Callithrix jacchus: one gene and its partner. The protein of the gene in region 2 purifies or fractionates together with the protein of the main gene of each other region. This does not show direct contact. Links are inferred from orthologs where the notes say so. Each region holds a gene or a part of one and is shown on either strand. Other genes may lie near its edges.

Region 1 (5,828 bases), on a different chromosome or scaffold from region 2:
TTCATCCTTCTGCATATGGATATCCAGTTTATCAGAACCATTTATTGAAGAGGCTGTCCTTTCCCCATGGGTGTTCTTGGCTCTTTTGTCAAAAATCAGTTGGTTGTAGATATGTGGATTAATTTCTGAGTTCTCTATTCTGTTTCATGTTCTATGTGTGTTTCTATGCCAGTATCAGGCTGTTTTGGTTACTATAGCTTTGTGGTATATTTTGAACTCTGGTAGTGTAATACCCCCGCTTTGTTCTTTTTGCTCAGGATTGCTTTGGCCATTTGGGGTCTTTGTGGTTCCACACAAATTTCAAGATTGTTTTTTCTTTCTGTGAAAAATGTCATTGGTATTTTGATAGAGATTACATTAAATCTGTAGATTGCTTTGGGTGGTACTTGCATTTTAACAATATTAATTCTTCTAATCCATGAACATGGGATGATGTTTTTCCATTTGTTTGTATTCTCTTTAATTTCTTTCGTAAGTGTTTTATAGTTTTCCTTGTAGAGGTCTTTCATTTCCTTGGTTAATTTATTCCTAAGTATTTTTTTTTTTTTTTGTCTTTTTGTTTTTTTCCTTATTGTGGAGAGCGGGGTCTCGCTATATTGCCCAGGCAGGTCTCGAACTCCTGGGCTCAAGCTATCCTCCCACCTCTGCCTCCCTAAGAGCTGGGATTACAGGCATGAGCCACAGCGCCTGGCTATTCCTAAGTATTTTATCTTTTATCTATTATAATTGGGATTGTGTTCTTGATTTCTTTTTCAGCTATTTTGTTGTGTATAGAAACACTACTAATTTTTATACATTAATTTTGCATCCTGCAACTTTACTGGATTCCTTTGTCAGTTCTAGGAATTTTTTGATAAAGTCTTTAGGTTTTTATATACATAGGATTATGTCATCTGCAAACAGAGATATTTTGACTTTCCTTTCCAATCTGGATGTACTTTATTTCTTTTTTTTATATAATTTCTCTGGCTAGGACTTCTAGTACTATGTGGAATTGTTGATTCATCTTGCTAAAATGCTGATATATCAGAATAAAGTATGTTTTGCAGCTATTAAAATACTTGGCTAGTCTACTAAGAAACCATAATGGTTTTGTGAACATCACAGGATCGATATTTCTATAAACATAATCAATATTTTAATTAAATATAAAGTTCAACATCAAAATATTTAATGACTTTAAAATAGAGAAAGTTTAAAGAGAGCCTTTTCTTGATATCTTATTCTGCTTTATATTTCTTTGTTCATATACACATCTGATACAGAAAAATTGAAGTATGGGTTTTAATTTTGCTTACACTATTTACTAATGGTATATAATAATTTTAATGTCAAAGAAAATTATTGTCTATAAATGTCCCTTGGTATTCCAATCTCTGTTCAAATTTAAAAAAATAATAATTTCCATTTTAAAATTAGCATTTTTAAGAGAATAACTTAATAATAAAGAAGGAGATAGGAGCCTCTCCTCTGTCAGTGCAAGGGAATAGTAGAGAAATCAGAATCTGTACAGTACCTTTTGTGTAGCTCTGTGTCTGGAGGCAGGAAGTAGCTTCATAGTCTTCTGAGATGTTGCTCCCACCTAAAGAAAAACACCAGCCACCTAATGAATTTAATTTGAAGTTATTATAGAGATTGAAATGATCAGCAGATTTAGGCTACAGTGAACTTTTTGTTAAACTGAAATTAGTGATATAACTATTATTATCAGTAATTAACTTACTTTCTAATGAAATATGCTACATTGGTCAGAATACATATAGGAAACAACCAAAATAGTAAAATTTATCCTATAAAGACAAGCCAAAAATAGTTGTGTAAGATGACTGGCAAAATGCTTTATTAAAAAATATCTCAGGCCGGCTTTAGCTCAGCAGTTACTTCGACAATGCTTTCTATGGTGGAAACACAAAAAATATCTCTAGAAGCCTTCTTTTCCAACTGCATATAGTTGTTCTGTAAAGTTATTCAAGATCTTTGAAAATAGATTTCAGTTATTAAAAATGCAACGTAAGACCACATGCAGTAGCTCATGCCTATAATCTCAGCACTTTGGGAGGCCAAGGTGGGAGGATCACTTGAGCCCAGGGTTTCAACACCATCTAGGCAACACAGGGAGCCTCTGTCTCTACAAATAATAATAAACTGGCTAGGCATGGTGGTGCATGCCTGTAGGCCTAGCTACTTGGAAGGCTGAGGCAGGAGGATAACTTGAATCCAGGAATTTGAGGCTGTAGTGAGTCATGATCATGCCACTGTACTCCAGACTGCCTGGGTGACAGTGCAAGACCCTGTCTCAGAAAAAAGAAAAAAAAAAAAAGGCAACATTGAAGATTTCTGCTAAAATATCAAACATGATTATGGGCATAATATCCAATCTAATGGGTGAAAAAATATTATTTTGCAAAAAAATACAAAAGATGAAAAGAGCAAGGAACTGTCACACTGGTGAATTGTTAGGAGGATGGGACCAATGGAATAGAAATTGGTGAAAACAACAGATCATGACAAAACGTTCATATAGTATAAATGACTTTATTCTGCATTCCAGAAAATTGTATTAAAGTAATCTGCTTAGATTTGTATTTCTGAAGCGTCAGTCTAGCAAATGATGTGAAGGATGGCTTGGAGGGAGATGAAGCTGAAGTTCAGGAGCCCAATCTGGAGGCTATTTCAATTATTCAAGCAAGAGAATAATTGCTTGAGAACCCAAATGAGGGTCACAGAGATAGAAGATATGGGACAGATTCAAGAGATATTTGGGAGTTAAAAGCAGCAAGATGTAGTGACCAGTTGGATATAGAAGATATTAAGGTGGGAAGTACTTAGCATAAACTCCTAGAAAATTGACTCAGCAAACATTTGTACCATTAGCTAAAATGAGATGACCAAAAAAGATGAGGAGGAATTGGGGTAAGAGAGAATTTTAGGGCTGAAAGAAATTCTGAAAGGCAATGTGGTGTAACAAAAATAACACCAGTTCTGGAGTCCGAGACTTTGATTCAAACAGCAACTCCCTAGTATGCTAAATTCTTAGAATGAACTGGATGCACATTAAACTGTTGTCATTGCTTTTCGTTTGTTTGTTTTTTCCTTTTGTCTCACTCTGTTGCCCAGGCTGGAGTGCAGTGGTGTGATCTCAGCTCACTGCAGCCTCCGCCTCCTGAGTTCAAGCGATTCTCCTGCCCCAGTCTCCAGAGTAGCTGGGTTTACAAACGCGCACCACCACGCCCGGCTAATTTTTATACTTTTTGTGGAGACGAGGTGTAACCATGTTGGCCAGGCTGGTCTTGAACTGCTGACCTCTTGTGATCCGCCCGCCTACGCCACCGAAAGTGCTGGGATTACAGGCTTGTGCCACTGCCCCAGGCCTAGTTTTCATTGCTTTTATTATGATCTGCATGGTGTGGTCCAGCTCACAGTAAGAAACAAACAAGTGCCACGTGCTCGGGAGAAGGGGCCGGAAGATGGAGATTCAGGAGATAGAGGCCTTCAGGCAGCCGCGGCTGAGGAGAAGGAGGAGGGTCCCGGGGGGAATCCGGGATCAGATTGTGTCAACACATTCAGAGTAGTATCCTCAGGTGCCGGCAGGAGCCGCACGGCGGGTGCCTGCGCCACTTTTTCCCAGTCTCCGCGGACCGTCACAGACAAACGAGAGCTGCCCAAAGGCGGGGTGCTGGGAGGGCAGCACCCAACCGGATCCTTAGCCTCCGCACCCGCTCCTGGCGACCTAGACTTTCCTCAGTGGAAGGAAGGAATCCTCTCTGGGAGGGAGCTGGGCTTGTCCAGCGCGGCGCCCGCCCCATCCCTTGGGTTTACCTGTAAATAATCCATTCGGTTTAAAATCAGATCCATGATGACTACGTGGAAGGGATAGGCAGCGCCGGACAAGAACAGGAGGGACAGAGGCTTTGGTCCCGCAGATCTCGGATCTAGTCAGAAAGCCGCCGGCACCCACTCAGAGGCCAGCCCCAGCAACCGCGCTCACGTCCGGGGCAGTACAGGCTGGGCGACAGGGTAGCGGCGTCCGGCGTGACGTCAATACGCTGCTGCGAGTGGCTCCTGGAAGAAGATGAAGGGTCGCCCCTTTCCAGAAGCACCGCCCACTGACAGCGTGTTCCAATCAGAGGCGGAGAGGAACCAAGGACGCGAGGTACCGTAGACCCAGGGCGGTTTCCACAGAGACCCCAGACGCAGGCTTGGCTCCAACCTCACCGCTGCTCAGAGCTAGTCCTCGGCTTGTTTACCCATCGCTGTACAACAAACTCGTTAAGCCTCGGTAGATTCTGACCGATTTCACTCCGACACTGGAAAGGGCAGCAGTTCTCAAACTTTTGGTCTTAGGACTCCTTTACAAAACTCTTAAAAACCATTAAGGGCCACAAAGACCATTTGCTTTTGGTGGGTTTTCTCTCATTTTTAATTTTTAATTTTTTTTTTTTTTTTTTTTTTTTTGCGACGGAGTTTCGCTCTTGTTACCCAGGCTGGAGTGCAATGGCGCGATCTCGGCTCACCGCAACCTCCGCCTCCTGGGTTCAGGCAATTCTCCTGCCTCAGCCTCCTGAGTAGCTGGGATTACAGGCACGCGCCACCATGTCCAGCTAATTTTTTGTATCTTTAATAGAGACGGAGTTTCACCATGTTGACCAGGATGGTCTCGATCTCTTGACCTCGTGGTCCACCCCCCTCGGCCTCCCAAAGTGCTGGGATTACAGGCTTGAGCCACCGCGCCCGGCCTTGTTAGCTATTTGTATATCTTCTTTTGAGAAATGTCCTTTGACCACTTTTTGATGGGATTATTTGGTTTTTCCTCGCTGAGTTGTTTGAGTTCCTTGTAGATTCTGGATACAAGTCCTTTATCAGATGCATAGTTTGCAAATATTTTCTCATACTCTGTGGGCTATTTACTCTGCTGATAATTTCTTTTGCTTTGCACAAGCTTTTTAGTTAAATTAGGTCTCATTTATTTATTTCTGTTTTTGTTGCATTTAGCTAATGTCCAAAAGAGTTTTTCCAATGTTATCTTCTAAAATCTTTATGATGTCAGGTCTTAGATTTAAGTCTTTGATTCATCTTGAGTTGATTTTTGTATAAGGTGAGAGATGGGAATCCAGTTTTATTCTTCTACATGTGGCTAACCAGTGTTCCCAGCACCATTTATTGAATAGGGTGCCTTTTTTCCCATTTATTTTTTCGTATGCTTTGTCGAAGATTAGTTGACTGTAAGTACTTGGCTTTATTTCTGGGTTCTCTATTCTGTTTAATTGGCCTATGTGTCTACTTTTTTACCAGTACCATGCTGTTTTGGTAACTAGCTTTGCAGTATAATTTGAAGTCTGGTAATAGCATGCCTCCAAATTTGTTCTTTTGCTTAGTATTTCTTTGGCTATTCAGACTCTTTTTGGTTCCATATGAATTTTAGAATTTTTTTTTAGTTCTGTGAAAAATAGTAACAGTATTTTGATGGGAATTGCACTTAATCTGTGGATGGCTTTGGAAAATATGAAGACAGTTTGTTTATATGAGTTATCTATTAGTTTTTACCATATTAGACATTAGAACTGAAAATTAGTGTAGTTTTAAAAACCTGTGACAAATACCTTAATGAAAAAAAATATTTTCCAAAATAAAAAAATGAAATGAAACTGGCACTGTACACAAATCTATTTTCTGTCCATTTTAATAGTAGACAGGAGGAGCTTCAACTCTGCTACTGCAGTCAATCTATTGTTATATGTTGTTTTTGTTCATGTATATAAAGAAAATTTGGTCCAAACTCAACAAGTGGCAGTTTTTTGAAAGGTTAGTTGCAATGTGGAATGTGACTT
Region 2 (5,392 bases):
TTTGTGAAATAAGCAATGGAACTTTAAGGTAAGCTAGGTTTTTTTTTAATTATTCTTTTGGGTCTCAAGAATGCAAAGAGAAGCAATATATAATTACCATTTATTTCCCACAGGCATTTACTAACCTGTGACTAGTTCATACAGTTATTAAAATGCTAGAGAAATATTAGAAAGAAATGAGACTGTGCCTACCAGGTGACTTTTAAAATTATTAAATGTAGTAAGACTGGTTTCAGTGGAGTTTGAAATAAGACATTTAATACTAAAAAATTAAAGAAAAAAAATAGAAGACGGTTTTGGGAATGTGTATTAAAGGATGTGCACAATTTAATCATTTGAATAGATGACAAAAATTGAGTTTAAATTATTTTCAATGTTTTATTAATAAAGAAAATAGTTCCCAGAGAGATTTTTCACTGTAATCTTTGAATTTCTTAGATTACATGAATTTGGATTTCTTAATTTGTTGTATTTTGTAGATTTTGTTGTTGTTTATCCATAAGTTTTGGATTGTGGTTGTTTTGCAGGTTGGTGGAGGAGACCTTCACCGTAGATGAAGTCTCTGAAGTCCTCAATGGATTGCAAGCTGTGGTTCACAGCGAGGTAGAATCTGAGCTCATCAACACCGCCTATACCAATGTGTTACTTCTGCGACAGCTGTTTGCACAAGCTGAGAAGTGGTATCTTAAGCTTCAGACAGACATCTCTGAACTTGAAAACCGGTAATAAAATTTGTACTTAAAACTGTGACAATAGTGGCCCAGGCATAATCTTAAAAGTTAGTGAACATCTTTGCTGCATATTTTCTTGGGGCCAGTGTGTGAGAAAATTTGGGTAGGGTAACAGCAAAGCATCGAGTCACGGAGTGATGTCTAGCGTACCACGCAGCACCCTTTTAAAAGTTGTTCCACTGTTCCTGGGTATTCCAGGGGCCATTGAGATTTATGAAATTGCTTTTCAGGCTGTCATTATTTTTTACAGCATTTTTGTTAGCTTGGTCAGTATTACAATCAGTCTTTATAGATTGGTCAATTAAGAAATAAAGATTATGAGACAGTTCAAAAATCAATTCAAATATAAATACCATCAATTCAATGTAGTAGCATTGGAAGTTTTCTAAATAATTGAATTTAAAAGTACACATTTATTAACTTTAAGAAATATGAAATACAGAAAAGTTTATAATATGGACATCAAAAGCTCAAATTGAAAAAATATGGTAAAATTGGTGAAGTTGAAATCATTTTAAGAACAGGCATGGCAGAAATCAGGAAGGACTGGCCACCAAGCCCTGTGAACTTCTCCAAGCGTGGTCACAGCATGTCAGTTCATGTGCAGGTGTTGAGCAACACTGAGGACAACCTGTGGACTGGGGAGGAAAATCCTTTGACTTCTGCCACTGTCAGGAGGTGACTGGTGAGAAAACTGAGAAGGTGGCACTTACAGAAGCTTAGAAGCTGACTGCTGTTAACTCTCTCCGCTTGTGTACAGAAGTTCTCATTGGCCTTGGCCAGTCTTCAGATGGCACACCCCCACTATCTGTCTTTCCTAGGGAGTTGTGATACTCCTTTTCAAGAGGTACTATGGACTATTTTCATTTTTCTGAGGCTACTTTATTAAGAATCAGTTTGTCTTTCTTGAATCACCTTCTAGCTAACAATACATATTATATAATAAAAAAATCTCCTCATAGCACCTGGAGAATACAAAGTTGACTATAAATTTCCCTCACTTTTATATTAACATTGTAGTGTATTTCTAGCAATAGATATTGCATACCTAGTAGGTGCAAAATGCCAGGTGCTGTGGATGATCACATTTGAGTCCGTGTGGTTTAGATTCTCAACCATTTGCAACTAACATTTTTGATATGGTGAAGTTTGGTCTTCCTTGTTCTGTTCTCTCTGGCATTTAATAGGTTGGTACCAGTGATTTTACTCTTCTTATGTGTGATATAAATCTGTTTTAAATGAATAATTTTTATCTTTGTTTTAATCTTCAAGAGAATTATTAGAACAAGTTGCAGAATTTGAAAAAGCAGAGATAACATCTTCAAACAAAAAGGTAACTTTGTGGTCATTCTAAATCCGTATCTTAATAGCCAGTATTTAAAATCCTCAAGTCACTCAAAGAATTCAGAGATCAAACTGAGAACTCTTAAGGAAAAGCATTCAGTTCAAGAGTAAAATTCAAAAATTGTCTCTCATATTTTGAGGCAAAAGAAAAAATGTTTTGGAAGTAACTATGGAAAACTGCTTTTGTCTGTGATGACCTACACAAACCCATGATCCCTGAGTCCAGTCTCAGTCCCACCCATAAATACTCTACTCAGAAGATGCAGAGCACAGGCTCTCGGGTCAGCCACACCTGGGGATACTTCCTGGCTGTGTTACCTTGAGCAGGTTATCTGAGGTAGCTGAGCTTCATTTTACTCATCTGACAAATGGAGACAATACTAGGAGTCATCTACTTCTCTTTCTAATCATTCTCATTAACTGGCATGACGACTTACGATTCCACTTCACAGACGTACGGTGAATACTCCATTGTTGGATAAACACTGCTGAGATGAATCTAGGTACACACCCATACAAAACACTTTCCAGTTATTCCTTTGGGTCATATTTCTGGCGGAGAAATTTCTGGATCAGAGGGCAAGGATTCTTTTGTTTTTAATACATATTACTAAACTACTGGATTACTTGTGCCAAATTATTGTTTATCTATAGTATATTTGCCTAGATCTTTATCAGTATTACAGTTTTTCACAGAATCTAAGGTTCATGCAGAAATCACTGTTTCAGCTCCCACAGGTTAAAACTCTAGTTCCTAAATGCAAGGCTCTATAGCAGATCTAGCTTTGAGCTCCTTCCTTCCCTCCTTTCTTCCCTCATTTTCCGTTTGTATTTTTTTAAGATACAGGGAAGATAGGTTTTATTTTTACCCTGACAGGCATATCGTAGGCACCGGGAATAACAAAGGATGAATCCAACAGAAATCTCCGCACCTGTGGAACTGACATCCCAGTGGATATGTTTATATACAGTGTCTTCCACTTGGAAGGTGCAAGTGTTCAGTGATTATACATGCTTTATTCTGGGGTGATTTCAGTTTGGTTTCTTTATTTTGTTTCAGCCCATCATAGATATCACAAAACCAAAGCTTGCTCCACTTAATGAAGGTGGAACAGCAGAACTCCTAAACAAGGTAATGTTATTATTTTGAGAAATGGAAAACCTCTAATTCTCTCCTCTCATTGCCTGAACAACTCTGGGATGGAGAAACAGAAGTGGAAGGTTTGATTCAGGACCACTGAGGATAATTAGTTCACTATAATAGTATTACTTAATGGTATTTCATAGGCCAGAAGAGGGCATCCTTACCTTCTAGAGAGCCTGAAGTAGCTCTTGATCACAGCTTTTCCAGGTAAAGTGAAGAGCATGACATTTTGGACAGCGTTTATTGATGGACATTTAAAGTTTGTGATCTACGGTAACAAAGAGAAGGGTTTTTGCTTTAAGTTTGTAAAAATTATTTATCAGCATGGGTTGAGTATCCCTTATCCAAAATACTTGGGACCAGAAGTGTTTTGGATTTCATATTTTTGAATATTTATGTTATACAGACCCAGATGAGCAGCCCAGATCCAAAAATCTCATATCTGAAATTCTCCAATGAGCATTTTCTTTGAGCATCATGTCAGCGCTCAGAAAGGTTCAGATTTTGAAGCATTTCAGATTTCAGCTATTTTCATGACCTTGGTATTCTCAACATTATGCTAGATGTTGTTAAAGAGATAAAAAGCAGTGTAATACCTTGTCCCTTGCCCTCAAAAATGTAATAGTTTTATTGGGAAGGTAGAACTGATGCTCTAGAAATGGAGACCAGAGAATACTCTCCTGTGTGCTACAGGTGTCATACTTGGGGGCAAAGAAGACTCAGCTGTGTGTGGATGAGAGTAGGTGAGAACAGCCTTTTGGATAAGGAGGCACCTAAGCTGGGCCTTGAAGGGTGAAGACCAGTTAAATTCTAGAGGAAAAAGAAGTGAGTGTTTTGGGCAGGAGAACAGAACAGGCAGTGACTTGGAAGCGGCATGACTTGGAACAGAGTGCAGTGCTCTCTGACTGGCCTGATGTGTTTGTCGGAGTCTAGTGGAAAAAAACACAGGTGACTTGAATGTTTGAGCTGTATAAGAGCAAAGGTGTTTGCTCAACTCAGTCAGAAGCATCTGTGGGCTTGAGCATGGTACTGAAATGAAGGAGTTCTCCGGATTAGGGTCAACAGTGTGCAGTGGAGGCTGAGAACAGACCCAGGATTTGCAGGACCACCTAGGAGAGAGATGGCAGGGAAGGGGGTCTCTGGAAAAAGCTTGAAAACAGAGGGCTGAAAGAGGAAAGATGTGTCTGAGAAATTGAGAGGAAAGGAACTGGCTGTCTTAGGGCCAAAGCTGACTCACAGATACTGAGGCTGATGGTCTGGATGAAATTGAGATATTACCAAAATATCAGTAGTGCATTTTTGAGCTATTATGTAATTTAAATTAAATTTAAAACTTAGATTTTTAAGTGAAACAAGTAATAATTTCAAATATTAAAATATTTTGGTTAATATAATAAAACTTGTATTTACTCACAAAGGAAATTTCAAGACTTCAAGAAGAGAATGAGAAATTGAAGTCAAGGTTGAAGACCATTGAAATACAGGTAGCTGAGAAATGTTTTGACACAATTATTGACTTGCCTACAGATTAAATACTGAAAGTGTTTTGTTTAAACTTCATTATAGGCTACAAATGCACTGGATGAAAAGTCCAAACTAGAAAAAGCACTGCAAGATTTACAGCTTGATCAAGGAAATCAAAAGGTGAAACAAGTTTTAACTACCTTTTGCACATTTTCTAAATAGAATGAAGTTCTAAACTTCAAATTACGTCTTAGTTACTGCTCACTGCACCCCACCCTCTGCCACTCCGAGACAAATGCCTCTATAGTCCTGTGTTGGGACATCCTTGCCCCCAAAAGGCCTGGTAAGAACCAGTGGCCTTCCCTCTGTCCATCCTCCAGGGCAGAGGGGACAGTACATAGCACACACACCTGTAATTTCCCTGGCATGCAAGATATTCTCACATTTTTTAAAGTTTTTCCCTTTCACTTTGACATCCAATTACAGTGGGGGGTGGGGATGAAGAAAAGTTTTTAGTTAATTGGTTTATATTTAGGTTTTATTATACTGAACATTACCTAAGTTTGCCTTTGATGAGTGTGACAAAATGGTTATGAATCTGCAAATCCATCTGTACCTAGGTGGCACTGTAGAGTACAGTGAAATCCAGTGTCATAGTTCTTCAGGCCTGTCTGAATGTAATGACTGAATGTCACTGTCTGCAGGAAGT

The links. Proteins that work in one complex are often made in the same cells at the same time.
Region 1: the proteins of LZTFL1 (region 2) and BBS7 purify together in Homo sapiens (affinity purification with mass spectrometry; 3 studies listed by BioGRID and IntAct, counting the BioPlex papers as one, with this or other methods). This does not show direct contact. The link is inferred for Callithrix jacchus from reciprocal best matches to the Homo sapiens genes LZTFL1 and BBS7.

The regions. Positions count from the first base shown.
Region 1 is NC_133504.1:75,814,036-75,819,863, reverse strand, and holds the start of BBS7 (BBSome complex member BBS7), read right to left. Parts: upstream 4,015-5,828; 5' UTR 3,856-4,014; coding exon 3,820-3,855; intron 1,604-3,819; exon of another isoform or gene 1,583-1,603; coding exon 1,517-1,582; intron 1-1,516.
Region 2 is NC_133516.1:28,563,045-28,568,436, reverse strand, and holds part of LZTFL1 (leucine zipper transcription factor-like protein 1), read left to right. Parts: intron 1-527; coding exon 528-722; intron 723-2,003; coding exon 2,004-2,064; intron 2,065-3,135; coding exon 3,136-3,207; intron 3,208-4,637; coding exon 4,638-4,703; intron 4,704-4,785; coding exon 4,786-4,863; intron 4,864-5,392. UniProt on the Homo sapiens protein: Regulates ciliary localization of the BBSome complex. Together with the BBSome complex, controls SMO ciliary trafficking and contributes to the sonic hedgehog (SHH) pathway regulation. May play a role in neurite outgrowth. May have tumor suppressor function.